Linked DNA regions of Danio rerio. The protein of the gene in region 5 interacts with the protein of the main gene of each other region in a biochemical or structural test. Links are inferred from orthologs where the notes say so. Each region holds a gene or a part of one and is shown on either strand. Other genes may lie near its edges. The genes, in order: cdk5, s100b, abl1, ptpa, maptb, rps6kb1a and cdk1.

Region 1 (4,478 bases), on a different chromosome or scaffold from region 5:
TTTGTGTTTTTAAAGGCTGGAACACATCTGGAATTACTGAGCAAAGGAGGATTGTATGCAGAACTCATAAAGAGACAACGATCTAATGGACATAAATAAAATACTGTACTTAGTATATGTCACTACAAGTTATTTTGAACACAGAAATTCATTTGGTGCTCTGTCATATTGTAGCATATTGAATTTTTTTTAAAAGAAAGTTCTGTGTGTTTAGTTTTATCATCATTGTAAAATCAGTGTTGGTAAACAGTTTTTAAATAGTGTTTTTATTTCCCTAAACTCCAGACTGAAAGTATTTGAACCTTTTCTTTTTTAAATGAAAAGATTTTAGTGAGATGAAATGTACATTTTATTTTGAAAAATGTATCTGTTAATATCATTGTGTTGATAATCTTGTTTTCCTTGAAAATTAAGGTATAATAAAATTAAATATATTCTTCTGCATTCACATTGGTTACCATTTCCATTTTTAAATTACACACAAGTAATTAGAGATATTAAATATTTTATTTAGAATGCTTTTTTTAATTACTGTTGATATTGTTATACTAACGTGTTTAATTATTTAAATTAAATTAACAATAAAGAAGAGCATAGATTTGATCAGCTTTAGCATCGATTTTTACTAATTAACATTTCTCTTTTTTTTTTGTTATTTAGAGGTTTAGATTTAAATATTTTAATACTGAAGTATTTACTTATTTAATTTATTGTAGCATTGAGTAAGAGCATAGGTTAGATACGTTTTATTAGCATATATTCTTTTACTAATTGACATTTCTTCCTAAATTTTTTTGTCTAGTTTTTCGAAATATTATACATTTTTAGACAACAGAATACCACCATTTTAACAATGTTAGATCTTATGCGACACAGTGTTGTAAACGCGCTAGTAAATGTCAAAAATGTTGACACTTTATTGTAACATTTGTTTTAAGAGACATGATTATGAAAATAACATCATGATAAAAGATAAAAATTAATTTGGGTGTTATCGGAAAGTAAAAAGAACATTTTAAAGGAGTTAATACTTCGACCAGAAGTATTTGCACACAGACTTTTATTTCCAGCCAGCCAGCCCCAGGGCTTCCAGTGAGCTGTCTTTCCATTATAACTATCGCCACGTTTTTTATCTGATTTCTTTAAAAATCTTTTTTTTTTTACTGCCTGGTTGAGATAAAAAGTGGGTCTCAGACCAGACAAGAAGCACTGAATCAATTCAATTTTCCTCTGCCATGTCTTTTAAATAAAACTGTTTATTTTACCTCAGTATTTTTCAATTGAGTTTCAGCGCTCACCTGCTAATCCTGATTGTGCTAGCGGTTATATAGTCTTATCTTGTTTTACACTTGAACAACTAAATGAAAGCTTAAGTCTATTTAACTGAATGTATTTTAATGACATTGCAACATATATGCTGTAAAAGGAACCGTATGGCATTAAAAATAGTCATATAAAGCTTTCACCGGAAGTTTATGATTGGCTGCAGCTAAACCCGATCTGGTACTTTTATTTTGAAGCGCGTCTCAGCGGGTCGCCATCTTGTAGCTCTGCTCTCTTCATGTTGCGTACTACGCCCCTTGTTGATAAAAAACGACATTAATCAGCGGTACAATTAAACCCCTGCTTATTAATTCGTAGAAAAAACGAGCAGCCAGGACGTTTTAATAACTGGCTGAAACCATGCAAAAGTATGAGAAGCTGGAGAAGATAGGAGAGGGTGAGTAAAGCACTGTCTGGCCTGAATGTCTGAAGCTAACGATAAATTGGAGATTTATTTATACACCACTAACAATAACGAAGGTTTGTTGTCATAAGACGTCAACCGTCTGTCAATCTGCAAAGCATTTGTGCCTTTATGTGCTTGTGTACTGAAGCCTAAAAGTCTTAATCTGTGGAGATCGAGCTCATTTTGATGCAGCTGGCTTTGAATCGGATAAATCAGCACACCTTTCACACCTGCTAAATGACATTATCGCTGTTATTGAGAGAAATAGAGCTGGTAAAGTGATGATTTGTTATCCCGTTGATTGATATTTCATTTTAGCAACATTAACAGGGTTTTCTTTGATCCAGCAAATGCTGGTAGCCATGATGAAACGTAAAGTGTGTTTTCCTCTAGGGGGCGCGCGAGGGCTTAAAATAGGCTTTTCTCCTTTTGAGTTGTATTTACATCATAAAACAATATTTAGATTTTTTTTGTGAAGAGTCCTGTAATGAAAAGTTACCAATAGAAATATATGAATAAATATGGGTCAAATATTTCAATTAAATAAAACCAACCATTCAATCATATACGACAGTGATTGGTCTGCACTGATATTTGATGAGAAGGGTAATATATACCACGTGGTTCAAAAGGTTAAAAGTTACAATTATTTTAATAATTCTTTATAATAATTTCTACACAATTTAAATGACAGTTTTTATCAGGTTGCGAATCACAGGGAAGTTTGGGGAGATAGACCCCCCTAATTGACCACTGAAGAAGGTCAAAACAAGATGTATAGGGGGATCAGTTCTTTAACACTGAGAAATATTTCACTCTAATCTGTATTTTAAATAATAATGTTAATAATTAAAATAATAGATAATATAAATATAGATTTGACCACCCCTATAATGGTTCAAACCATTGTTAATGCATAATTGCGCCAATCAATTGCATCTATTTAAGAAGAAAGTCTTAAAGCGGCAGATCTAGAGCACCAATAGACATCATGTTCACCACACTTTGTTTTCTCATAAAAAAGATGTTGTATCTATATTTAGCCTGAAAATAAAATCAAATTCGATGCATTGTTTGTAGTTTAACCTTCAGTAACATCTGAAACAGCTAATCAGAGAATACTGTCGATCAGAATACACTAAATATCCCTCAAAACGCTGAAAGCTTAAATGCATTTTATCAATAAGCTAGATGTAATTAAAAATATTTTTTATTTATGTATTTGACATGGACATCACAATTACACTGGACAACCAAATGCATTTGTTTAAGTGTTTTAGCAAACTTGCTAATTCTCAACACCTGTCCACAGGAGGCTTAAAATTGACAAAATAGAAATATAATAAAACATACATAACATTACATTTCTTTACATAAAATTACTGCAGGAAAAAGCAAAGGCGACATGATCCAACTAACTAACGATAGACTATTTGTGCAAACACTGCTGTTTTGTTTTTATCCACTTTTTAAGAGCACTACTAAAAATATTTAGATTACTTTCTGCTTTAAAACTAACCGGTAAATCATAATATATTAACATTATTATTATTAGCATACATAAATTACTGAAGCGTGTATTACACAAACTAACAACTGACAAGCAGTTGAGCCTCCTGGTCGTCAATGTATAATTTGCACAGTTCTTTATCCCCCTAAACCACGCATTTGTTTTATTTTTATTTAACAGTTGTTCTGCGATAAATGTAAAATATGGTGATTATTATGATCATATATTTGTCATCTATATACATATTAGAAGGACATTTTTAATTTTGTAGAGAGTTGTGTGATAAAAAGTTACTAATAGAATTATATGAGTTAATATGGGTCACATTCAATCGAATAATACTAACCAATCAATCATAAAACGACAGTGATTGGTCTGCACTGATATTTGATGAAAGGGGTAACATACCATGTGGTTCACAAGGTTGAAAGTTACAATTATTTTTATAATTCTTTAGCATAATTTCTACTCAATTTAAATGAGTTTTTATCAGTGTGCAAATTACAGGAGAGTTTGGGGCGTTTGATGTGATTGGTAACGTGTACCGCCATTATTTAGTTTTTTTTTTACATAATTAACATCAAATTGAAATGGCAGTACAGGGTTCAACGCTATAGATTTTTTCTACAGGTCCGATCGGGCCAGTGGTTCAGATTTTTACTTGCCCTGGCAAAATTTTCACTGGCCCCACCAAAAAAAGGGAAGTTAATAGCTATTTTTTGCCACGTTTTAAATAATGTGTCAAAAAAAAAGTCTGTGAATCTACAATTTTAATACTTAAAATAAATTGTAAATAAAAGTGTTATGCAAACAAAAAGAGCAGTACAGAAAATGTTAACAAAAGGTGGCCGACTTGTCAAACTGGCGGCAAACTGTGCAAAACATCACTTCATTTTTATTTTGTCGTGTTCGTCACACGTAAATGTCTACTTCCAAGACTTTAGAAACAGACATTTTCTTTTAGCCTTATAATTTGATGTTGCCGCCATGTTGCCGTTTCTTCGCTGTACTGGTTTTTAACAGGTTACAGAAACAAAATATCATGGTCAATCAGATAAGAGGAACCGGAAAGCAATATGGTGTTTATGACATCACAGAGAAGGTAGTGTTTAAAAACCTAAAAGCACAAAATTAAAATGCACATGATTTACATAGTCGCAGACAAATTAAATGTTAGTGACATCCGGTCTACTGTCCCAAGTGTCTCTCAAGCTGGCCCTGGGCCACCGGGCATGTCCT
Region 2 (4,592 bases), on a different chromosome or scaffold from region 5:
ATGTAACTCTCTGCCTTTGCACATTTGCCAAGTGGATACTATTTCCAATCTTTAATTTCAGATAAACTTTTTTTGTTTAGGATAGCTTTTAATGTTCTGCTGTTTTATTATCCTGTCTATTGCTTTTTACAGCTTATATTTTTATTACATGCTTGCGATATACTGTAAGGTGTCCTTGAGTGCTTTGAGAGGTGCCTATAAATAAAAGGTATTATTATTATTATTATTATTAATTCTAAAATAAAGCTTTGATTGAAAATTTTTAGGAAGATGTGTGTGAAAAAAAATACTTTATTAAAAGTCAGATATACATGTGTGTGCTATGCAGCTCCTAGATCCATGTTTCATTCGTCCACACTCAATTTCACTCTTATATATATTTTTTTTATTTATTTTAAAATACTTTGACTTTCTGACATTTGTTCACCTTGTGTATTTATCATGTGAAGAAACCCTCAATGTTCATTAAGCATGATCAGACCAGATTTGTGTACATTGGAAACAGTCACAAACACAACAAATGTTTGTAGACACTTGCAATTGACACAATTTCAGCATAATTACAAACCAATTCACATAATTTCAAACCAACTGACAAACAACTTGGCATAATTACAAACAAGGCGCTGCTAATTTTTCAAAACTAAGTATAGTTTGGGAAAAAGAAAGGTTTTAGTAAAAAAAAGTAATGTTTTATCAGTTCGCCCACACTTTACTTCATGAGTTTATTATTGTATATTTTATTATTGTATGTTCATTTTAAAATTCTTAAAGTTTGGCTTTCTGTTTTTTTATGAGAGAAAACATTCATTGTAAGGTCTCATTTATTACCCACAAATACACTAAATTTAAGTACCATGGAAAGATTCACAAACACAATAAATCTGTGTAGATATTAGGCATGGGGCGGTATAAGTTTCTGACAGGATAAAAATACCAGGGTTTTACAGTATCACAGTATTGTGATAACTGCTCTAAAATAAGTTAATTTTAAATGTTTGGGTAAAACTAAAAATCTGAACACAGTATATTTTATTTTAGGAAACATTTATAATATTTTGGAAAAGCAAAAGTCAGGCTAAATAGTTCAAATAAATCATTGACTTCTGCAGTCTTCAATTTTAAAAAACACAGAAAAAATACACTAAACAACCCTGACATATACCTTAGGAACGGTATAACAGAAAATCTTAGCGGTTTTAAAACCTTGACTTTTTCAAACCAAGGCAAACCAGTTATTGTCCTATGCCTAGTAGAAATCATTTTTTCACAACTGACACAATGCTGGGATAAAGCTGTGATAACTAATCAAGCATTCCTAATATTTCAAGACAGTGTAGTGTGAAAAAACAAAAACGTTGACCTCAATACAAGTCTGAAACTACGCAGACACTCGATTAATTTAGTGCTTCCGAAATTTGCCAAAACATTCCTTGAATATTCTTTGTACAGTACTTCATCTTGTTTCGCTTTCATAATTTGTCTACCTTGTACAGAAACATTAATTGTAGGTCATTTTTCAATAAAGGAATATTTCACCCACAAATTAAGGGTTAGAGTTTCTTTCCTCTATTAAACACAAAAGTATTTTGAAGAAAACTGTAAAGTCGTAACCATTGATTTCCATAGTAGGAAAAGCAAATTCTGTGGAAGTCAATGGTTACAGGTTTTCAGCATTCTTCACGATGTCTTCTTTTGTGTTCATCAGAATAAAGAGTCTCATAAAAGGTCTGGAACAACTTGAGGGTGAGTAAATAGAGAGTAAATTATTTTTTGGGGGGGTGAAATATCCCTTTAAGTATAGATGTGTGTACTTTTTTCTGTTGTAAACTGTCAATATGTAATATTTTGACACCCATTTTTCTTCTATTTACACAATTTTTAAAAAGTGTACAGTGAAAAATATCTTTACCTTAATAAAAGTTGAAAAATCAAGCATGAGTGGATATTCAAAGGGACACATCACCCAAAAATGTCAATTTAACTCGCGTGGTTCTAAACTTTTATGAGTTTTTGTCTTCTGTTGAACACTATAAGTTAGTTTGAAGAGTAGTTTGGCAAATTAAAGAATAGTTTGACAACTTAAAAAATAGTTTGACAGCTTGAAGAATAGTTTGACAGCTTGACAGTAGTCTGAAACTTAAAGATAATTTGAAAAATGTTGGAATATTGCCATTAACATCGATAGTAGGAACAAAACATACTATGAAAGTCAATAGCATTTTTCTCCCAACATTCTTCGGTATATCTTTTTATATATATAAAAAAAATAAAAAACACAACCATTAAATCTACATAACTTGAACATTATCAGTTCATTATTGTCATTACGTGATTTTCTTTCCATAAATTTTACAATTTGACACCAGTAATTTGTTACCTTCTGGTCGACTTTGTAAAGAAACATTAATTCCAGAGTTGTTCATTAGGCATGATCATAATAAATTAGTATAAATTTTACACTTTTTAACACAATAACTAGCAAACAAAGATTTTTTTACACAGTTCTGACAATCACTTTATTATAAAACACATATTCCCAAGTTTTCGAATCAAAAACAAAAAAAATTACCTCAGTGAGAGTTGGAAACTCATGCGTGAGCAGCTCCTTGAGTTCACTCTTTTTTAATTTGTACTTGTCTCCTTCTTTCGACGAGTATTTGTGGAAGACTTCAATGATGGTTCCCAGGCAGTTCTCTAAGTCTGACATCTTAATGTGCTGCAGCGACGCTCAACGTTTCCTGGAATAATTACTAAAAATGTGAAAAATGCTTGATAGCAATTTCAAGCTGTTTAACTTTTTCCCTCAAATGTCTGCAAACAAGTTTAAGTGTCGGAGCAATTTTATAGACCATTAAGTTTCGTTCTGTCTTTCACTTTTGCAAACACATTTCTAGTCATTATGTAGTTTTTTTTTTTTTTTTTTTTGCAATTTCATCCTCAGTTTGGAAAAGCTTGGAGCAAAATAAGCTTTAAAAACATTGGAATGATAAATAAAAACGTACTAGACTTACCAGCAGAGAGTTTGTCAGAAAGAGGCGATTCTGCAGAGGGAGATGAGAGTCCATTTATAGGTCTGAAAAGGAGGAGCTTGGAGATTTGAGATTCTGTGCTGTCAATCACTGGATCTGACCAATCAGCTTCTTAACTTGTTCTCACTCCACTAGACACACATTTAAAGTCCAGAACAAAGGGGTGAATATATTCACACACACACACACACTCATAGTGTTACACTTGCGACTTCTGCTATAACATGCATAAACTTTTACTGTAATAATTAATTAGTTTTATGCCATTTTAGCTTAATATTAGAATTTATATTAAGTGTATTTATTGTTTTATCAGTATTTTATTGTCCTTTCATGATTTTCATTTCAAAGTAATCATTTAAAGTAGCCAATTCTGTGCACAAAGGCTGCATTTATTTGATGGAAAACACAGTAATAATTGTGAAATAATATTACAATTAAAAAAAAACTGTTTCCTTATTGATTGTAGTTGTAAATTAGATTTATTCCTGTGATTCAAAGCTGACTTTCCATCATCATTACTTGTCTTTAGTGTCACATGATCCTTTGGAAATATGATATAATATGATGATTTGCTGTTCTGTTATGATCAGCTATTGGTACACAATCACTAATAAGGATTTCGTACAATTATTAGTGATGAATTTTCTTGTCTTCATGTATTGTAGAAAATGTGATATATTTTACATATGGGGATACTTCGATAAAAAAATAAAGTTCTAAATAATAATTCTTAGCACACATAAAATGTTAACAAATCTTACTGTTTCCAAACAGGTTTATTCCAACACAATCTCATGGCAATTCATAACTTTTTGATTTTTGAATCTAATTTGTACAATTTCATATGATTTGCTCATCGCACAATGAAGGTTGGGTTTAGGGGTTGGGTGCCACGCCTCCTTTTTAAAATCACACAATTTCGTATTACTGAACTCGTACGAATCCGTTTGAATTAGCCACTAAACTCACAAAACCTAAAATACTTACGTTTTCTCGTGAGATCAGGCTGTTTATTCTTTTATTTAATGTTTTATTCAGTCCTTTCAGTCTGTTCTCAATACATAAATTTTTTTTCAGGCCATAAGCAAGCTATACGAGTTTATATGCAAAAACAGAACTCAGTTTTTATTCATTTTTTTGTTGCAAAGGTTTTTGCAAATGGATTCTTCAAATGTTTAGTTGTTTTCCTTTTCTATTTTAACAATTTAATTCTTTAATAGTAAAAAGCTTTGTTTTATGATTAATGTGTTTAGCAGCTTGTTGTTTTTCAGTTTTATAAATATCGTATTAAGTGTTCTTATTGTTTGAACAACCCTTTTTTGATGATTCATTGTCCTTTAATTGTGTTTTCCAAATAAAATCATTTTATCTAAACATAAAGTTTGTCTTGTCCTCTCACTTTAGGTTATAAGTAAATATAAAGAGTTAATTTGCCAAAAAAAAAAAAAACAGATACCTCTGTTTTTATTAATTTTCAAAAATCATCTTTTATATTTATGAAAAATACTTTTCTATTTTTGCTAATGAACTTTTTATATTTTAATGTACTCTTCATAA
Region 3 (4,426 bases), on a different chromosome or scaffold from region 5:
GTGAGAGAGAGAGAGAGAGAGAGAGAGAGAGAGAGAGAGAGAGTGAGAGAGAGAGAGAGAGAGTGAGAGAGAGAGAGAGAGAGTGAGAGAGAGAGAGAGAGAGAGAGAGAGAGAGAGAGAGAGAGTGAGAGAGAGAGACAGAGAGTGAGAGAGAGAGAGAGAGAGTGAGAGAGAGAGAGAGAGAGAGAGAGAGAGAGAGTGAGAGAGAGAGAGAGAGAGAGAGAGAGAGAGAAATGGAGTTTACTTTCATTCTCTCAATGGCAGTGAAATGGAGCTTCTGCTGTAAGTGTCAGGGAAACTGTCCAGCAAACACACACGCAGTCAAATTTGTGCACAGTTTCTGCGTTTTTAAGTAGTTGGAGCGTAGTAAATACTCGCGCTCGCCTCCCTCGCCATAGTAAGCTACAAAACATAGTGCAAATGAGATAAATGACATCAGTATATAGTAAGCGGTTATGATTATTACTCAACCGATACCAAATTTTACATTTACATTTAGCAGACGCTTTTATTCAAAGAGACTTACAAATGAGGACAAGGAAGCAATTTACACAACTATAAGAGCAACAATGAATAAGTGCTGTAGGCAAGTTTCAGGTCTGTAAAGTATAAGAAGGAAAGCATTAGTATTTATTATTATTATTATTATTTATTTTTTAGTACAGTTAGCGTTATATCCAGAGAGGCACTTGCAGATTAGGAAGGGAAGTGAAGGCTAAATAGTTGAGTTTTTAGTGGTTTTTTGAAGACAGCGAGTGACTCTGCTGTTCTGATGCAGTTAGGGAGTTCATTCCACCAACTGGGCAAATTGAGCGTGAGAGTTCGGGAAAGTGATGTCTTCCCTCTTTGGGATGGAACCACGAGGCGACGTTCATTCACAGAACGCAAGTTTCTGGAGGGCACATACATCTGCAGAAGTGAGAGCAGATAAGAAGGAGCAAAGCCAGAAGTCGCTTTGTAAGCAAACATCAGAGCTTTGAATTTGATGCGAGCAGCAACTGGCAGCCAGTGCAAACGGATGAGCAGCGGAGTGACATGTGCTCTTTTAGCTTCATTAAAGACCACTCGTGCTGCTGCGTTCTGGAGCAGCTGAAGAGGCTTGATAGAGTTAGCTGGATCTTTCTGATGTTCTGAATTGTCTGCATTTGCTTCGTGGTGGACTGAAGAAACAATTAATTTTGAAACTCCTATCTAAAATATATTCTTTTTAAAAGTCGGGATAGAAAACTTTTTTCCTCTTTGTACACAATTTATTTCAATTTGAGAAACATTTCAAGTATTTTGGAGCAGTAAACGTGAATTATTGACTTCTGCTGTCTTCATTAGTTTCAAAAGCACTGATTTCTTTACTATTTAAAACAGTGTCTTTGGAGATCTTTACTGCTGGAGATACTGTTGTCCTAAAAAAAAATGTAAATAAAAAATCTTTAAAATATTTATCTTTTAAATTTTGACGAATTTAAAACCCTGACTTTTCAAAACCACGGTACACATTGAACACGGATATCGTCCCATGCCTAATCTGGACACAGCCAGAATGAGCGCCTCCTCTGCCATAAAGCTAAATAAGAGTTATCATGCCAACTTTCTACTATAAACTGAAGCTTGCAACACCCAAGCACTCTTCTGATTGGTCCACTGCTGTGGAACTGACTGTGCTGTGTGTGAAAGTCGAAGACCTCTCAACCAGACATGGCGTTTAAAAAAACGAGATGCTTCAAAAGATGCAACGTAGCAGTCAGACACGTACGTCAAGCGTGTGTTTACATTGAAAAACAATAGTATAGTAGTGCACTATACAGAAAGAAAATGCATTCTGTGTGAACGGCCCCTAAGCAGTGCACAAACACTCACAACCAATTTATAACCATTCAAAAAAGGCACCTCGCACCATTAAAAGTGCATTCAGTGTGATCAAGGCCTCAATGTTATTAATTGTATTATTAATTCCAAGGCTCTGCTGGTTTTCCAGAATTGTCATAGCCAATCTTAACCCAATTATAATTGCTTTGGTTCAATTTATAATTTCCACAACCACTGCAGAGCCTCGGGGATCTCAGGCTGGCTTGGCCTCCCCCTGATCCTAAATGTTCCCTACTGATCATTCGTGAGTGAACTGCCCCCTTGAGTGATGAGTGAATGTGGTGTGCTGGATCTGGCACTGACCGTGGACCGTGAACACATTGCAGTGCGGTGCTCCGTGCCGGGGCGTCTCTCTCCTCCCCGCGGCCTTGATGAAGGGCAGTGCCGGCAGGCTCGGTCTCCTCTGCTCACCCACTAACTTTCCTGGCTGCTGCCCCATAAGAACACACAGCGCAGGAGATCAGCTGGAGGAGCCTGAAAACACACACTCCCCTGTGCCAGTCATGCATGTGCCAGCCTGACCGCAGATCAGATCCCCGCCTTCTAGAGGTTAGAAGTGTTTCTAAGGCACTGTGGGATGTATGAAGGAGTCATCCTCATTCACAGAGTCAGCATTAATGCATGAACATCACTGCTGACGAGCTGTCAATCATTCTGACGTCACGTCAACATCAAACTCTCAAAGGAGAAGATATCAGCACATCAGAGGGGTCAGTGATGAACTCAGACGCTCTGGTGTGCGTGAAACTCTCAATGATCATCATTATTAGAGTTATTATGATAATTATTAGCCACTGGAAGAGTCTGGGAGTGCAGTAAACGCGTTTGGTGTGATCGTGGTGTCATTCAGTAAGCAGATGAGACCGTGTTTGTATCTCCTGATGCTCATTAAAGTCATGAATAAAGTGTGTGGATCTCACTGAAGCCCTCCAGGCTCTTCTGTGCAGATTTAACTCTTGCCTTTGGCTGTGGTGTTGAGTTCTGGTTAGTTGGTAAAGTCTCGTCACTTCCGCGTGCACTTCTCTCTCTCTGAGGCGGATTTAAACGCTCCTCTACCCGCCGCGTGTCTCCGCTGTCGGGCTCTTCTGCTCACCGGACACCCGCTCGGTTCCCCCGCAGTGTTTTAATGCTGGTTCTCGTCATGTTTTAGTAATATTTCATAACTTCCAGCACTTTTCTTCGCGTCGTTCGTCGTCGCAGGAACCGCCATGTTCGCGCACGCGAGCTGCGCCCGTGACGTCACGCGCCGCGCTCTTCCGCCAACAAGCGAAAACTTGTATTTTGTTTTGATGTGAACGCCTTGTAAGAAGTGTTTACCTATTGTTGTTGTCTCTAATATGAATAAATAATAATAAACAGTTAAAAATAAAAACGCTGCGGTTCCTGTACGCAGAAAACATATATTATACAAAACTGTAAGATTAATGCTCTCTTTAACATTCCTAATTAAAGACTTCAAACTTAAAGTGTATATGACTTATGATTCTCTAATTCAACAATATTATTAAATAATATTATATATTAATATAACATCATTCTGAATCATACTAAATTATACCTGATTGATATTTATTTCAATAATCTATTAATACAAAAATACTTCAACAAACTCCAAAATAGCTTTAATTTGATGCAACAGCGTTGAGTTTTACTGTCTTAAATATCAATAATATTTATTCTATTAGTATATATTATTATACAACTATATTAAATTCGATTGTATTTACATAGCACATTTAAAAACAACCATCATTGATTAAAGCACATCATAATGTCAGCACATAAATACATAATTATACGGTTATAATTTACAGCAATTAAATAAATCTGCTCTTTATAATAAGTGCATTACTGCTGAAGGTTGCAGAAGCGTTGCTCTATAGTTGTAGTTGTGTGATCACTGAAGCCCCCTGGTGGAATAAACACACAGAGCAGCGTCAGAAACACACTTAAGGGGTCAGTTCACACAGAAATAGAGATCTACTTTCATTTTAATTCATCTTAGTCCCTTATATATCAGAGGTCGCCATAGTGAAATGAATCACCAACTATTCCAGCATGTGTTTTACACAGCGGATGCCCTTTCAGTTGCAACCCAGGGCTGGGAAACACCCATACACACTCATTCACACACACACACTCATACACTACAGCCAGTGTAGTTGATCAGTTCCCCTATAGCGCATGTGTTTGGACTGTGGGGGAAACCGGAGCACCCGGAGGAAACCCTCACCAACACGGGGAGAACATGCAAACTCCACACAGAAACACCAACTGACCCAGCCGAGACTCAAACCAGAGACCTTCTTGCTGTGAGCACACAGTGCGACACCACTGAGCCACCGTTCCACCCTAATCCTCATTTGCTCTGCTTCTAAACACCTATGGGTTTCTTCTGTCGAATACAAAATAAGATACTCTGAAGAATGCTGCCGCTGCCTTCAATAGCAGGAATAAAGACGATGAAAGTCAATGTGTGTTTCTCCAGCACTCTTCAGGTTGAGAGAATGATCAACACACACACACACACACACACACACACACACACACACACACACACACA
Region 4 (4,558 bases), on a different chromosome or scaffold from region 5:
AGATGTTATAGCGGGGGGAGCTATGTTTTAGCACATAAACATGCATTTTAAACTACAATTTGTAAATCTTAATGCAATATCCACATGTGTTTTGAACCATGTTAGTACCAAACAATTCAATATTATACAGCACATTGCAGCATTCCTAGTTTAAATACAATCCTATCTGATCATAGTTGCTGGCCGCCTCCATCCCTATATGACCACTGTGTCCATCTAATGATGGCTACTTCTAGCAATATAGTGTGTCACAAAGCCTAAATCACCTCAAACTGGTTTCTTAAACATCACTGTGAGTTCAATAAACTTAAACTTCCTCCACAGTCATCAGATCTCAATCCAATCGAGCACCTTTTGGATGTGCTGGAAGAGGAAACTCACATCCCAGATGTGCAGCCAACAAATCTAATTGATAAGCCTTCATATCAATATGGATAAAAATGTAAGAGGCACGTTTCCATTAACCTAGTTGAAAATGGGTGTCCAATCTGGTTCTAGCAATGTGTACATGACATATTAAATGGGGATTGTGAATGTTAAAAGCACTATTTTAAAACCCTCAAGATTGATGGTAGGTTAGAAACTTTTGGGTTGAACTTATTTGGTTGCATGATTTCAACAGGCTTACCCATGCAAGTCAACAACGCAAGTCTGGAATAGGAATAAGCCATTCTTTTTAGGTCATGGATTTTCATTTCTGCATTTTAAACATGCCAAGTATAAAAAAATAAAAACAACAGAAGTGACTTATAGAGAGCTTCTCTTGAATTGTATCCTTCAGAACTGCCTCTTTAAAACATAATGGTGTGGCTGCTGCAACCAGCTGCAGAAAAGTGTGTCAAACAATAGAGCTTCCTATTATTATCCTTAAACTCCAGGGAAACCAGAGAAAGAGCTTGAAAATGGGCTATTTTCCCATCTCTCAAGGCAGCAGATAAACTAACTTCAGAGTTGGTTGAACAACATACCTGTGATCTTTTCCATTTGCCCATATCAGGCACCATGCTGATCTCCTTCTTTGGCACCATGAAGTTGAAACCGACAGAACTGGGAGGTTTGTCATCCTCATGGGAGGAGCCTGTGAGAAACAAAAATATCAAGAGCACATCCAGTTTTTTTTATTCAAACCAAAAATATTAATTCTATACATCCTGTATCATAGATGTATAATACTAATATATATATATATATATATATATATAAAAGTAGTTAACTTGATAATTTTCATATTAGAATCATAATAATCATAATTTGAATGATCAAAATATTAGGTTACAGAGTGCTGGTCAAAATGATAAGAACACTTGCCATATTTAAGAGGTTTCCGTTGTTTTTGTCAAACTGGCCACTGCAATATCCATATTATAAAAGAAATATATAAGTCATCATTATGCTCTATAAACCATAGAAAAGAGCCATGATTAAACATGGGTTTCAATGTATTTTGCAGTTTGGAAAAGTCAAGGTTTTAAATTTGCAAAAACTTTCTGTTAAATAGTTTCTATGGTTTATGACAGCTCTTTTTTTTCGTGTTTTTGTTTTTGCTTTATTTTTTGGACAACAGAAAAAAAAGATATCCAAGGATGTCTTATTCAAGTTGTAAAGACGTCTGTGCTTTTGAAACTAAAGAAGATGAGTCACTGACTCATTTAAATTCTTTAGTAGGACATGTGTACTCTTGCAAAATATTTTAAATGATTCTCAAAACATAATTTGTGTTCGAAACCCCCTAACCCAGACGTTTAAAAATAACTTGTTTTAGAGCAGTGATCACAATACCATGATACCATGAAACTGTGATATTTTCATCCAAGTTTATCATACCGTCAGAATCTTATACCAGCCCATGCCTAGCCATGATAAGGTGATTTAGGTCATTTTCATCACAAGAAGAGAGGGAGAGAGAATTTTGAGTTTATTGACAATTCAGCTTCTTTGGCTATGTCAGATCAAGTTTTTATCACAAAAAAAAAAACAAGATAAGTCTATTTCATTGTCAATGTCACACAATTATGTTCTTTGACAATTGAAAGGAAAGTGTTCATGAAAGATTCAACACTTCATTACAATTTCTCAGGAAATGTTTTTACCCTATGTCAGAGAGATGTGCTGCTGTAATTGATTTTTTTGTCATTAGGGACAAGAGCTTTTTAGCCTCGATGTTAAAAATAGTACACAGGAAGCGTAAGCATTAGCAACTCGTTTACTAAACTAAAATGTCAATCAATTTACGTTACACATTGGTCGTTTTATGGGTTTTAACTGGTAACTTAATGGCAAAACACCGTGTCACTAGACTGGCATACAAATAAATATCCAATTAAATGTCTAGGCTGCAAGTTCTGTAGTGTGACCTAATTGGCAATGCAAACAAACTGTTCTCTCATTAATGTTACACTATCAGAGACAAAGGTTATGAATACACAGAAGCTAACAACGTAAATTAGTAAGTTACAGCCTACTTTTTAAAACTGAGAAACCTTGATGCTTTTCTTTATTACCATATGGGTTAACCAAGTATAATACTCGATCAGTAAAGGATTAAATGTGGCTAAAATATATATTACACAACCTTAAAACTAAAATTGATAATAACTGTTCACATTTAAGTCGTAATAACCTAAATATTCGCCATCGAGCAGAAGTGACAGACTCTCATCGATTCATTACATGAGGCGCGGCGAACCATAGTAAAGCGCTTTTCTGCACAAGTAAAGTCCCTTTCGTCCCTTCAAGTGCTGCACATCGACATTTATAATCTCCACATATCACTGCGGTCTCTGCGTTTGAATTAGCTCTGTTTAATTGAAGATTTGATTGATGTGAGTTACCTGACGCCTGTTCTGTCTCCGCCATGTTTACTGTGGTGATGAAAACACAACCCTTCAACTCTCACCCGCAGTTTCGCCTCAAATATATTCCTTGAACTTGATCAGCGAAAGTAAACTGCTGCGAGAAAAAAAGTGCCTGTTTCTGAAACCCATATAATTTTATATAATACTTAATTTGTGACTTCGGTTTTAAGTTTAGGAATCGCATTAGATTTTCTAAACTGCGTATTTTTATTTATTTTTGTAAACATTTAAAAATATATATTATCTCTACAAAAACTGTAAAAGGTTATTAATATTTTTCTATTACCATGTATCTCCATGTACATTTATGTGGAAAAAAATAGCTGCTACAACGTTGCATTGTCGATTCCAAATAGATAGGGGAATTTGTAAAAATATATATAGTGTGTAACATACATACACACACACACACACACACACACACACACACACACACACACACACACATATATATATATATATATATATATATATATATATATATATATATATATATATATATATATATATATATATATATATATATATATATATATATATATATATTTAGTAGTTTTAATGGAAAATGTACGGTATTCTGGACCTTGGAATGCAGACTTTTACTTACGTTAAGTATTGTTTTGAACAGTTTACTGTGAAAATTACTTCAGAGTATCTTCTTTATGTATAGAAATAGATTCTATTTCAGATTATCAGTGAAACCTATCGATCTTTCAGTAGAAAGATGAAGCAAAAGATGAGAAGAGATGAGGCAGGTAACAGGGTTGCCAGGTTTGCATAACAAAACAATCCTTATTGCCAGTCAAATGAAGACCAAAGGTAGCCCACTGCACTCAAAATGTTCTATTTCCATCTATGACCCATTATTATGGAGTCAATCTAGGGCCATATATACTTGCAAAATAAAATAAAGTTTTGCAAAGAAAAAATAAAGTATTGAGTAAATGCAAATAAAGTATTAATAAATGCAAATTTCCAAAGCAAAGAAGAAATAAAAATAAATTTTGCAAACAAATGTAAAGAATTGCAAAAGGGAAAATTAATTTTCAGAAATAAAAATTAAATTTGCAAACAAAAAAAACTGCAAAAAAAAATCAAGCAGTGCACAAAAATTAAAATATTTGCAATTAAAAAAATATATTTTTTTGTAAAATATTTTTATAGCAATGCCTTTACAAAAACAAACTATACAAGGGAACTTGGGTGTTTATGGCAGGCCCAGACCATAGGCTAAAATATAGGGCCCAGACCTGGGCTGTAAGACCACTTTGGTAGTACACTATGGTGGTACATTGTTTCCAGGTCTGCTGTAAACGCTCAAGTTCCCTTGACTCCGCCCCTTGTCAAATCAGGGCCACAAAGTGAAACCACAGTCTATGAGTGAAACGCGCAGAAGCGTGATGTGCAAAGTGAAAACCGCTTTGCAAACTTATGGTTGACTAACAAGCAAATCAAAATGAGCATTGCAAATGACTGGACGGGTTTTGTAAAGGCAATGCTATAAAATGTTTTGCAAATATATAGAGTTGTTTTTTTAAATTGGAAATATTTTAGTGTTTTTGCACTGCTTGATTTTTATTTGCAGTTCTTTTTTGTTTGCAAATTTCATTCTTATTTCTTAAAACAATTTTTTTTCATTGCAGTTCTTTATTTTTGTTAGCAAAATACATTTTTATCTCTCCAATTTTTATTTTTGCTTTGAG
Region 5 (3,862 bases):
AGTACCTTGTTTTATTATTACAGAGAGTAAAGCGAATGAAGAGTATTTTAACCTTGTACAGGGACAAACAGTCACTTTTTCTTGTATTGAATTAAAAACCAGTGCTTGCAAGGCAGCAAAAGAGTAGTGTTAGAGTTTTTAGCTTAATCTTCAACTTTAATAAAATGTGCCATCAGAGCTGTTATTGTTATCGTCATGAATACACTTTTTTGGCTTCCAACACCAAGAAACTACACCAAAGTTGGCACTTTCTTAGCAAATGCAGTGGTTAATGCAATATTTATAAGTAAGAGACGACATTTAAATTTTTTATATAGGAATTATGCAAGACCAACTGCATTTCAATATGCAAAATCATTTGAGACAGAACACTTACTGCAATTTGGTATCAATTTGTGTTTGGACAACATAAAGGAATTAAGTTAAATCAACATAAAACAATTAAGTTGTCCTAATGAAATCTCAAGAAGTGGGTTGTTTCCGCTCATTTTAAATAAGTAGTTTGAACAAGCAGCAATTTTTTTGAGCATGTCATCATCAGTGTCAGATTTGAATGTTTGAAAATATAAAAGATGAAGTAAAATGCATATTTTCTTTGTTTGTTATTTGGTTTGTTTGTTAATATTGAAAATTGACATTTGTGCAATGATTCAGAAATAGTGTATCAATTGTGGTGCCTTGCAAACTTGGCTTGCTAAATTGCCTAGTGATGGCCTGCAGTAATGAATACATCACAATATTAGGTGATTTTGTCTGATACTTTATAAGAGAGGTCTGCACAACTGCAGGGGACGTTTAGAGTACGTTTGTCTTGAACCCTACAGCAAATGCTGACCTTCTCCTTTCAAAACGTGTTCTAGACAAACCCCATAAGCTTGGGTCTTTGAGTCCATTTGAATGTTTCAAAAAATGGACACATCTGGAATAAGGGTATACCCACAAAAGAATTGCACAGTTTTGTGAGTGATACATTCAACATTCATGCACAGGTGACATGCAATACAAAGGGGCAGGTGAAGACTGTGCCAGCAATAACGCACAATGCAGAAAGTTAGTCACAGACAAAAGCAGAATAACACTGACCACACACAGAAAGGGAAGGAGAAAAGACAGACACACAGGGCACAGAGGATCAAAAGAGAGAGAGAGATTTTGTGGCTACAAGCAGCCCGTTTCTTCAACCGAACACGTTCTCATTTGAGTGTGCGCTTTTCAGAAAGGGTGCTGCGAAGTTCTACTGATCTACTTTAAAAGAAGAAAAGGGAAGAGGAAATTAAAAGATCTGTGTGGGGTTTGGAAGGACAGAAGAGAAAAACAGACCTTTGGATGGGACACTTGCTTTTCTGGCCGGAGCAGCATCTTTAGAGGGAGTTTTCTGAAGGCTAGGAGCAGTTTTGGGGGAAGGAGTGGCAGAAACTGTAGCTACGGGTTTTTTCGTTTTTTTGGCTGGAGCTTCTTTGACAAGAGCTGCTTTGCTTGGTGGTTTTGTTGGCGGGACTTCGGCACTGGGCTTAACAGCATCTTTAGCTTTAGTGACAACAGGTTCTAGTATGGCAACAGGTTCTGGTATGGCAGCATTTTCTGGTATGACAACAGGTTCTGGTGTGGCAACAGATTTAACCTTTTCAGTTTCTACTTCGTCATCATCACTCGTCTCCAGGTATTTCTCCTGACTGACCTCCTTTGTTTTATTAGAATCTAGATGTTCCTCTGCCTTAAGCTCCATCTTTGGTGTAGCAACTTCTCGGGAAAATGGAGGAACTGGGGTCTCTTCCTCTTCTTGTTCTGGTACCTCTATTTCCTCTTCTTCCTCTTGCGTATCTGTCTGAAAGTCCCTTAGAGATGATTCCTCTTGGGTCTGGTCAGCGGCAGCACTGGGTGTAAGAGGTGATCCCGGATCTGCCCTGCAGGAGTCTGGGCTCTTGCTTTCCGGTGGTGTTTTATCAGAGCTGCACTCCCAGCCCACAGGACCATGCGGATGACCAGGATCCTGAGGTTCTGTGTAGTCGAACGACAGGCCGCGTTTCTTAGCTTCTTCTGGGGTCATGGGAAGGTGAATAGGGGTTTCATGTTCATCCTCTTTCTGGGTTGTCAAGTCTGGGGTGATAGAACTGCTCACTAAGGAAACTCCCGTTTGTTCCTCTTCTTCATCACTGACTTCACTCACTTCTTTGTCCTCATTTTCATTCTCTTTCAAGTTGATAGTGCTTCTAGGATCTGCTCCAAATCCAGGTGAACCAGAAAATCTTCTTTCAGATTTCTCCATTTCATGTTCCTCCTCTTCAGATCCACTGGGACTATGATGGTCGGACATCTTATCCGAAGGACTTCTCTTCATCTGGCTGTCAAAGCCTGTGATCCCTGAGCTCAGGCCATCAGCAAGGGTTACCGGGAGTGGATGTGGCGACACTGGAGACTCCCGTGGGCTCACAGAGCTCTCCCTTTCCCCATTCTCCCGCTCTCCCTCCCCATCCACTGATGCCGCACTGCTCCGGCCACTCTTTGGCGGACTTCCGGGTGTTAAGGCTTCTGATGACGTGGAAGGCAGAATTATAGGAACAGCCACAGACAACACTGCAGAATTAGCAACACTCAACCACCCTCTCTCAACAGTCAACATTAGAAGCAGAGAAAGAAAAGGAATCAAGGAACTTAAAGGAACTAAAAGCACAGAACCACATAAGGAGCTTGAACACAACACAGAACACAAGTCTGTTTTCATGGCAGTTAAACAATCCAAAAATCTGTTGTACACACTAAACTTTGAGTTAAAAGCACTTTTATGTATGCAATGCTTGCTAATCTGTATTACCAAGCAAAACTGTTTGTAAAAACAGGCAACTAAAGGGGCAAAATGAGAGATCGGAACAGTAGGGTCAAGGGGCTATGAGATCAGTGCTTATAAAAGTGCCTTTTCACTCATTCATTCACAACAACAACAATAAAACAATATATACTGGCCAATCAGACCACAATGGACCATAACATCTCTGTGAGCTTCAGTGTGTAAAGCACTTATAACTGATAGCAAAATGACCAGCAAAGCAATGATTTGGTGCACTATCCACTTGCAAATATCATTTGATGCACAGATAGACCTTTTGGATCTGATCTGAGCAGTAAAATGCATGTTTTGCATTGTGCTGTGAATGCATTTGAAGCACTTTTAATGCATTTAATAATAACTACTTGAAAGCCTCATTATTCTGAAACATTTAGTTTCTCAGATACAGTGATGCAATATAGAGCCAGTATAAACGCATTTAATTGGAACAAATATAAAGTGATCCCCTTTGAGATCTCATGTTTGAGTTTTTATTTTATTTTTATTTTTATTTTTATTTTTTGCATGTTTGCGCAAGCAGTGAATGATTTGTGGTGGTTTATGGGGCCAATGCATATTTGTCTACATGTAGATCCTGTGAACTTTTAGGCTGCAGGTGGATTAAGGGGTGGTGGTCCACCATACCTTCTCCAGCTCCTGCTGTCCTTCCTGACACGTCAAAGTTGTGTGATCACATGGAAGCAAGTTAAGAGAACATATAGGATACAGAGGACATAAACAACAATGCTGAGAATTCATTGCCCAGTTCAGTAGGTTGATCTTAGTACACCTTGGTAAATACTGTGATTTAAACATGCTCAATGTATAGGAGCAGCTGACAGATGCGGTATATTAACCTATAAATCACAGTAAACAAAGATTCATTAGTTTAAAAAAAAAATGTTAAGCGTATATGAAATTTAGGGGAAGAGTCAGGATCAAGGTTATTATAGTTAACAAAAAAAATTAACAAACAAACTAAAACTGAAAAATAATTTTGTTAACTGAAATCAAATTAAAAGCGAGTTGTTTTTTTTA
Region 6 (3,862 bases), on a different chromosome or scaffold from region 5:
AATATTCCCCTCTCACCCAGGATATGTCTTTTAGGTGATAAAACTGAAGTTCCACATATTGAGTTACGAGTTCTCCCTTTTAACTGTTGGCATAACTATAGCAGCATGTATAATACTGAGGTTTTGGAAAGACAATGCTCTTTACTTAAATTATGAATGGAATTAATGACTGAGAATGTGTCGTTAGCCCAAATGAATGGCAGTCATAAGTAGGGTTTCTACAGGTTAAATTTAAGACATTTAAAGACATTTTTAAGACCATTATGAATTAAATTTTAGACTTATCTAGCATTAGCATTAGCTAAATGCTAAGGATTTTGTCGAATGGCTCAGTTGGAAAAAAATGTTTATTTGCCCTATCAAACTTTTTTTTAATTAATTGAATAAATGCAATAATATTTGAGTTAAATCTGAGTTAAATATTTTAAATATTGTGTCAAAGCAAGCAAGCTCTATTTGTATACATACACATTATTTCAACATAACCTTTCTTAAATATATATATATATATATATTAATGTTTTGAAGGTTTAAAAAAACTATAAAAAACTATGTATGCACAACAATCTGTCCAGGTCAGCTTCCTCAGCAGTAAATAAAGGAAATGAATTCAACCATCATGGTAAATAGAGTTAAACAAAAAGTTAAAAGTTTTATTGAAATGAATTGTTGGTGAGTGGATGGGTGTTAATGGCCTTGATTGGGTAGCTATACATGGACAAAGGAAAATTAAGACCTGTTAAAAAAAGATTTAAGACCCACAACACATAATGTGAGTAGGTTTAGGATGTTTTAAGGCCTACAATTTTGTTTTTGAGATTTAAGACATTTAAAGACACACTGATAAGAAAGTTGATCTATGGGAGAATTTCATTTCTTCACCTAAACAACAAACGTGTTTACCCTGTTGTGCTCTTTAGTATCATCTTTATGCATCTCTTACTGTTTTCCTAATTATTTTTTCTAATTTTTTAACAGTTTATTTTTCTAAACTGTGAAAAAAATTGTGTGCATTTTGTATGGTACTGTATGTTATATTAAGAGGAAACCAATAAAAACTACATTTTCAAAAAAATAAAAAAATAACGTAAAGTAAAGACAATTAAATTGAGGTGAAACGGTGGCGCAGTGGACATCACTGTCACCTCACAGCAAGAAGGTTGCTGGTTCGAGCACCGGCTGGATCAGTTGGCATTTCTGCGTGGAGTTTGTATGTAGTGTGTCTCCCATGTAGTGTATGCGTGTATGCCATGCTCCTCCAGGTTGGGGGTTGACCATTGGGCTAACAACCCACTTCATAAAAACTAGATGCTACCAAACACCAACATGGTGAGGCTAAATATCAACTTCAATATAAAATGGCCCTGGGAGTAAGTAGGTTAGGACAATTAAATTGCTACAAATTATTTAAATTTCAAGTTTTCCATATTTCTTGGGAAACAAATTAGCACGTTAGAAACATTTATGAAGAATTATGTGACTCTGAAGACTGGAGAATTTATGTAGAATATTCAAATTCATCATCATGGAAATAAATCAAATTTGAAAATGTTTAGAAATAGAAAACATCACAGTTTAACTACATCTTTGATCTAACATACACATCCTACTGCTCAAATCCATTCTAGATAAATGATCTGATGATTGCACAAACATAAATGCAACTCAGCTGGAGACACGACAGAGGTATAGTGTTGACACGGAGATAAATTTAGCCTAAAAAGTACCACAGACTCACCAGGAAGACTTGGTTGTCGCTTTCACTGAGCTTCGTGTCATCAGGGCTGTCCACGGGAGTCTGACTAGTGAACTTTGAGTCAAACTGGCTAACATCATCTGCGGATTGCTGCAAAAACATATATCTGTGAGGCAATGTGATCCAACACAACATATTACAACATACACAACACATGACTATTAGCAATAAGAGAAATCTGCAGAGAGTTGATCCTACCAAAAAGGGTTTGAATGGAGGATCAATTTTGAATGCCAGCAGATCATCCCAGTTTATGTGTCTGAAGAAAGAGTGGCGCTAAAAACAAATGCTCTTTTAAAAATACAGAACACTCCATTATATATGTAAATGTCAGGTATGCATGATTAATAGATTCAAAGTATCAGAAAAGCAGATACCTGGATGTCTAGAACATCTCTAGGACTTGCTCCAATCCGTACCGATGCATTTCTCTTCAGCAACTGGATGCAAATAGCAGGCACACACACAAACTCAGTTTAATTAAGCAATAAGACTGAATATCTCGCTAAAGCTGATTGACTGATTTACCTTTTTGAGGAGGTCTCGAGCCTCTTGGGTGAGGTACGGTGGAAGGTTTAGTTTGCACTTCAGGATTTTGTCAATGGTCTTTTTCCGATTCTCCGCTGTGAACGGGGGCTGAAAGTAAAAGGGTTTAAATGTTAAGAGCATGCAGTCGGGGTAAACTTAAGTTTGTATTCCCTGTACAACTCCTTGAGATATTTAAAATATTCACAATAAAGTTTACTTTGTTTTTACCCCTTGTGTGCTGTCAGGATTGTTTTCATCTACTCTGGGCTGATTTTAACTTCTACTTTGCCCACAAGTTTCTTTGCGTTTCAGCAAATGGTACGATTTTTGACACATATTTTGGGTAAATGCTTTGAAAATGTTCAAAAAGTTAACACATTCTGGGGAAATTGACTACTCTTTCGTTATGTTAGTGGTTGTTTTTGCCCCGTTGACTTCCATTATAATGACATTATTTGATTGCAAAGCCATGACACCCTACAATCATGCATGCGTCCTTGTTGCGAAGAGACAAATTTTTTATTTTTTGCTGTTGATCATCAGTTGCAGTACAAAAAAATGTAAGTTTCTGGCTTTTATCTTGAGTATAGTGTGTGTCTGTTACTGTGAGACCTTTCCTTCCCACTTACCTTGATATGTCAGAGAGAATCTAAATAAGCACCCCTGCTCTCAGGGCAAAGTAATCATAGTAAGTATATTTATACACGCACACTATAATCTGTTGTTTTACTCCATAGAACTCTATATAACAGCAAGACTTTTTTTTGCCCAGGCCTATTTAAAGGTTTAATGCTGCCAACTGATGATCAACAGTGAAAATGACAATTTTTACCTCTTCCCAACAGGGAAAACCACCAACAATCAAAAATGCATGATTATATGGTGTCAAGACTTTGGAATAAAAAAATATCAATATAATGGAAGTCAATGGGGCATAAACAGCCACGACTTCAGCCATGACTTCTCCCATAGAAATATGTAATCCCAAAGCAAAGAAAATTCATTTTAAAATTCTTCACAAAATATACCCAGTCAATGCATTTATCTCAGAATTAACTGATATTGCAGATACTTGCTCTCTCTGTCAGGAAAGTGAGGAAACTTTCACTCACGTGTTTTTTTACATTTAAAATCTCACAAAAGTTTTGGTCAGATTTACATAATTATTTGAATAAATCACAATCAAAAAAACAAATCTTTAAAATGAAAGATATTAATTGTTATTATTCTAGTCCCAAAAATAAAAATGAAGAATATATTTATATATTTTCTTATATTTTATGCGAAATTCTTTATCCACAAACAAAAATGTCTTAAATCCTCTCCCTCATTTGCACATTTTTTTAAATTATAATTGATTAATTGCTTAAAGGTATAGGTTTATCTAACAACAATTTTGCAAGTTAATAGAAACTTATGAAAATATCATGCTTCCAGCAAGTTAGTCTTTAATGCTTTCTGTGTTTTTTCATTTAATATTGTACTTCCCCTTTCTTGATTTCATTCTCTTTTTTCTTTTCTATTTCTTATCTGTTACTTATTGCTATCACTTTGTAACTGTAGGTACTTGTATTCCAG
Region 7 (3,679 bases), on a different chromosome or scaffold from region 5:
CATTTGGATCACAAATAAAGATATTTTTGTTGAAATCTGAGCGCTCTCTCATCCTCTATAGATAGCGTCTGTTCACATTAGGATCACCAGCACAAGAGTTTTCGTTGGAACTTCATCAAGCATAGGCTGGCTTAAAACAAGCTGTGTTTGTGACAGGGCTCGAGATTAAACAACATGGGTCACGTCATCAGAAAATGAGTTACTCTTAATTGTGTATTTAATTGGAGGTAATTTGCAACACACAAATGCTTGGCATAAAGAAATCCATTCATCACACTTCTCTGCACCACAGATATTGCATAATACTATTAACCACGATAATTAGCATTTTGTGCGTCTTTTAAAATTTCATAAAAGACATATTTTATTTGTATGCCAGTATGTTTATCTGGCACTTTTGGAAAATGTTATCAATTACTACGTGTTTTTGTCATTATCAAGTAAAACAAAATAGAAGCAATTTAAAAATGATTTTTGATCAGTGTTCTTTGTGCCTTTAAAAGATCAAAATAACATGTACATGTAAACATCTTAAATATATAATTGTTTGTAATAATTTTGAGCATCTCTAGAAAAACACCCACTTTAAACACAATGTAAAAATATCTGCATTAGTGTAGATAAAGACATCGGCCCAAAATGGGATCCTACAAAGTGCTCTTAATTGGGAACACCTTAATTTATTCTTTTTATATACCACTTCAGGTCGACAAAAAATACACGCTTTATTTACAAGGGGTATTATGTAACATATAACAGGATAGAAAAAGACATACAAAAAACAAACAAAATTAGGAAAAACCACCCAGTTGACAAACAAACAAACTGAAGGTTGATTATTGCGTGTCAAAAGACTCGGATTGCATTACTGCAGGTTGGAGGAGTAAATCTACATCTCCGGGCTCTCTGAACTCCCAGAATTCACCGTGAGCCCTACGCTCACATTGCTTGCTTTAGTATGCATGTGTTTGTGTTTATATCTTTAGGTTGCTGGCTGGAAGACTGCTCTTATCCAAATCGTCAAAATACGGATGTGTCATTGCTTGTCGTGCCGAAATCCTCTTAGGGGGGTCATAAATCAGCATTTTCTAAACAAAGGAGAAAATGAAAATACGTGAGTGAGATGAACACAAAGAAACAAGTAGGACACAAGCATATCAGGACAGTCTTTTACCATGAGAAGGTCGATGCCATTCTTGTCCAGGTTTTTCACAGTGTTGGCCAGATTCCCAGATTTCCACTTTGGGAAGGTATTCTTATAGTCTGGCAGAGACTCAACATCTGGCCAGACCTCATTGTTAGGGGTCCCCAGAGTCCTAAAACACAGATCAACCACAGAGAGGGAAGACAAAAAAAGAAAAATACTATATTTTTAGTGAAATGTTTGCATTCCAGTTTACAAAACTACATTAAAGCCATATTTTATTTGTATGCCAGTAAGTCCATATGAACCAGAAGCTGCAATCATATTTTTGTTTTCAAGAGTTCACACTTAGATATTGTTTGACAATGATAGCAGGTTTGGCATGCTGTCCCAGGAAAGAACCCTGAGCTCAGCAATAACTGAGCCCAGGGCTCCCGCCTGGTCGATAGAGCATGTAAGGGGAGTACGAGATCAGGTGGTTCTCGATAGCTCCCCGTGGTAAAGGAGGAAAGGGGGAGAAGGGGTGGATGGGGGGGGGGGTTTCTTTGAAAAAAGGAAGATAAGGAAGTATTTTTTTGCTGGCCTACTTATAGTAAGTTTGGATTAATCTGATTTGCTAACTAATGATTGTAGATGAGAGACCAGCTGCGATCAATCACATCACGTGCTCCTCTCGAAATTTGTTTGTGAAACTTCACTTATTGTTGCTTCAAGCGGAGTAGATGTAATAAAATAAGCATTTCATACAGAAAGATCTGGAAATGGGTTTTAGAAGAGAGTTATTACTACCTAACAGACACCTCATCCTCACCATTTGTTGTCAAAACTGACAGTTGGAGCAGCGTGGTTAAAGCTATGCCCAATACTTAAGATATATATAATCAGACAATTTAACTGAAGAGAAGAGAAAAAAAAGAAAAACGAAGTGCATTTTCAGATTTTAATTAAAGATAAGGTCAAACTATTTTTTTTAAATAATGATATGCACAGATTAACTGTTCACTAAAAAACTTGCAATGTGAGCAAACAAAGTCATATGGTTAGTATCGATTTCTAGTGGACTTCTGGAAAATGCTATTATTTGTTATTTGCTATTGTTATATTGACTATATTAAGTTAAAATGATTATTGATCAGTGTTCTTAGTGTCAAATATCAAAATAATATGTGCATGTAGATAAATATTTGTTGATTTTTAATGCCATGTAAGCTTGGTCCAGTTTCATTGACAAAAAAAAAAAAAAAAAAAAAAAAAAAAAAAAAAGACCCATTTTGGGATTTTACTTTTTTTTTCTTCTTCTAAAAACTCTTAGCAAAATACAACTACAACAACAACTACTACAAATGATAATAATAAAACCTCCTAAAAAAGTTCTACAAAGAATCAGAGGAGGTTTATTGGAACTAGTGTATGTTGCTTCAGGAAAGGAACTACACATTAGTGTTGCATTTTATTTTCTTTCTTTTATTTTCAATTTTATTTTTATTTATACATATTTTAATTAAATCATCTATAATTATCTGTCATTTAGATATGTTATTTGATTATTTTATCATTAATCGTCCATTAGTTCATGATTTAATTTTAGCTATTTGGTTATTTGTTAATGTTACCATTTTTAATATTGTTACCATTTCTTTATTGTTACTTTATCATTTTATAAGTTTTCTCTTACTGTTATAATTTCCCCTTTTATAAAATTACTAATATATTCCCTTACTTATTATTGTTTTCATGAGTAAGAGAGAAAAGAGAATGTCTATTTCAAGGTTTTCAAACATGTTCACACGTGCGCTAATACAACAATTATATTATCATAGAGAATACATGTTGTACTATAAATACAATATTGTACCCTAATGTCTGTGCAGTTTAACACGAGCAAATAAGTTTGTTACCAAGTACAGCCCTAATTGACCTTTTCAAACTTCTTTTATACTTTTAAAACTCTGTTAAAAAAAAATAAAATAAAAAATAAATAAATAAATAAATGTCAACACTGATTCCTGAACTTTGTCTACCTGAAGATCCTAAAGAGTTGGTCTATTTCGGAGTCTCCATGGAAGAGAGGTTTCTTGGTGGCGAGTTCAGCAAAGATGGTGCCAATACTCCAGAGATCTACAGGTGTGGAATAGCGTGAAGCCCCCAGCAGCACTTCTGGAGCTCTGTACCACAGAGTGACCACCTGCACAATCATAATCATGCGCACACACGTCAGCATTAGTGATTATAACATTTTGAGCAAGTATCATCAACTGGTATTAGGCTTCTGCCAGTATCAAATTTTCTTGTTGCGATTAACTGCTGAAGCTGTATCATGATAGACCAAAGCTGTAAAAAAGTACTTCTAACAGCTATAACAAAAAAATAATAATTGTGTATTGTATATTCATATTTAAAATAAACACCCTAAATTGCTAAATTATTATAAAGTGACGATAAAACACTTTACACATTGCGTTAGTAAAAGCTAGTTAATGAGAGAGACTGTGTGAAATAGCCACATTATAGGTACAATATATGATAAAGTTAATT

What was found.
Region 1: of the proteins of maptb (region 5) and cdk5, one has a biochemical effect on the other in vitro, tested with the Homo sapiens proteins (10 studies listed by BioGRID and IntAct, with this or other methods). The link is inferred for Danio rerio from reciprocal best matches to the Homo sapiens genes MAPT and CDK5.
Region 2: the proteins of maptb (region 5) and s100b form a complex in vitro, tested with the Homo sapiens proteins (2 studies listed by BioGRID). The link is inferred for Danio rerio from reciprocal best matches to the Homo sapiens genes MAPT and S100B.
Region 3: of the proteins of maptb (region 5) and abl1, one has a biochemical effect on the other in vitro, tested with the Homo sapiens proteins (2 studies listed by BioGRID). The link is inferred for Danio rerio from reciprocal best matches to the Homo sapiens genes MAPT and ABL1.
Region 4: of the proteins of maptb (region 5) and ptpa, one has a biochemical effect on the other in vitro, tested with the Homo sapiens proteins (2 studies listed by BioGRID). The link is inferred for Danio rerio from reciprocal best matches to the Homo sapiens genes MAPT and PTPA.
Region 6: of the proteins of maptb (region 5) and rps6kb1a, one has a biochemical effect on the other in vitro, tested with the Homo sapiens proteins (2 studies listed by BioGRID and IntAct). The link is inferred for Danio rerio from reciprocal best matches to the Homo sapiens genes MAPT and RPS6KB1.
Region 7: of the proteins of maptb (region 5) and cdk1, one has a biochemical effect on the other in vitro, tested with the Homo sapiens proteins (2 studies listed by BioGRID). The link is inferred for Danio rerio from reciprocal best matches to the Homo sapiens genes MAPT and CDK1.

What each region holds. Positions count from the first base shown.
Region 1 is NC_133199.1:37,959,731-37,964,208, reverse strand, and holds the start of cdk5 (cyclin-dependent kinase 5), read left to right. Parts: upstream 1-1,544; 5' UTR 1,545-1,683; coding exon 1,684-1,720; intron 1,721-4,478. UniProt on the Homo sapiens protein: Proline-directed serine/threonine-protein kinase essential for neuronal cell cycle arrest and differentiation and may be involved in apoptotic cell death in neuronal diseases by triggering abortive cell cycle re-entry. Interacts with D1 and D3-type G1 cyclins.
Region 2 is NC_133197.1:13,547,685-13,552,276, forward strand, and holds the start of s100b (protein S100-B), read right to left. Parts: upstream 3,047-4,592; 5' UTR 3,015-3,046; intron 2,742-3,014; 5' UTR 2,711-2,741; coding exon 2,573-2,710; intron 1-2,572. UniProt on the Homo sapiens protein: Small zinc- and- and calcium-binding protein that is highly expressed in astrocytes and constitutes one of the most abundant soluble proteins in brain.
Region 3 is NC_133180.1:78,512,108-78,516,533, reverse strand, and holds the start of abl1 (tyrosine-protein kinase ABL1), read right to left. Parts: upstream 3,097-4,426; 5' UTR 2,303-3,096; coding exon 2,167-2,302; intron 1-2,166. UniProt on the Homo sapiens protein: Non-receptor tyrosine-protein kinase that plays a role in many key processes linked to cell growth and survival such as cytoskeleton remodeling in response to extracellular stimuli, cell motility and adhesion, receptor endocytosis, autophagy, DNA damage response and apoptosis.
Region 4 is NC_133180.1:33,431,506-33,436,063, forward strand, and holds the start of ptpa (serine/threonine-protein phosphatase 2A activator), read right to left. Parts: upstream 2,916-4,558; 5' UTR 2,857-2,915; coding exon 2,832-2,856; intron 1,079-2,831; coding exon 969-1,078; intron 1-968. UniProt on the Homo sapiens protein: PPIases accelerate the folding of proteins. It catalyzes the cis-trans isomerization of proline imidic peptide bonds in oligopeptides. Acts as a regulatory subunit for serine/threonine-protein phosphatase 2A (PP2A).
Region 5 is NC_133178.1:20,914,431-20,918,292, forward strand, and holds part of maptb (uncharacterized protein maptb), read right to left. Parts: intron 3,494-3,862; coding exon 3,470-3,493; intron 2,530-3,469; coding exon 1,321-2,529; intron 1-1,320. UniProt on the Homo sapiens protein: Promotes microtubule assembly and stability, and might be involved in the establishment and maintenance of neuronal polarity.
Region 6 is NC_133185.1:33,095,801-33,099,662, forward strand, and holds part of rps6kb1a (ribosomal protein S6 kinase beta-1), read right to left. Parts: intron 2,393-3,862; coding exon 2,285-2,392; intron 2,197-2,284; coding exon 2,134-2,196; intron 2,033-2,133; coding exon 1,955-2,032; intron 1,847-1,954; coding exon 1,739-1,846; intron 1-1,738. UniProt on the Homo sapiens protein: Serine/threonine-protein kinase that acts downstream of mTOR signaling in response to growth factors and nutrients to promote cell proliferation, cell growth and cell cycle progression.
Region 7 is NC_133192.1:22,204,134-22,207,812, reverse strand, and holds the end of cdk1 (cyclin-dependent kinase 1), read right to left. Parts: intron 3,330-3,679; coding exon 3,166-3,329; intron 1,317-3,165; coding exon 1,175-1,316; intron 1,089-1,174; coding exon 975-1,088; 3' UTR 641-974; downstream 1-640. UniProt on the Homo sapiens protein: Plays a key role in the control of the eukaryotic cell cycle by modulating the centrosome cycle as well as mitotic onset; promotes G2-M transition via association with multiple interphase cyclins.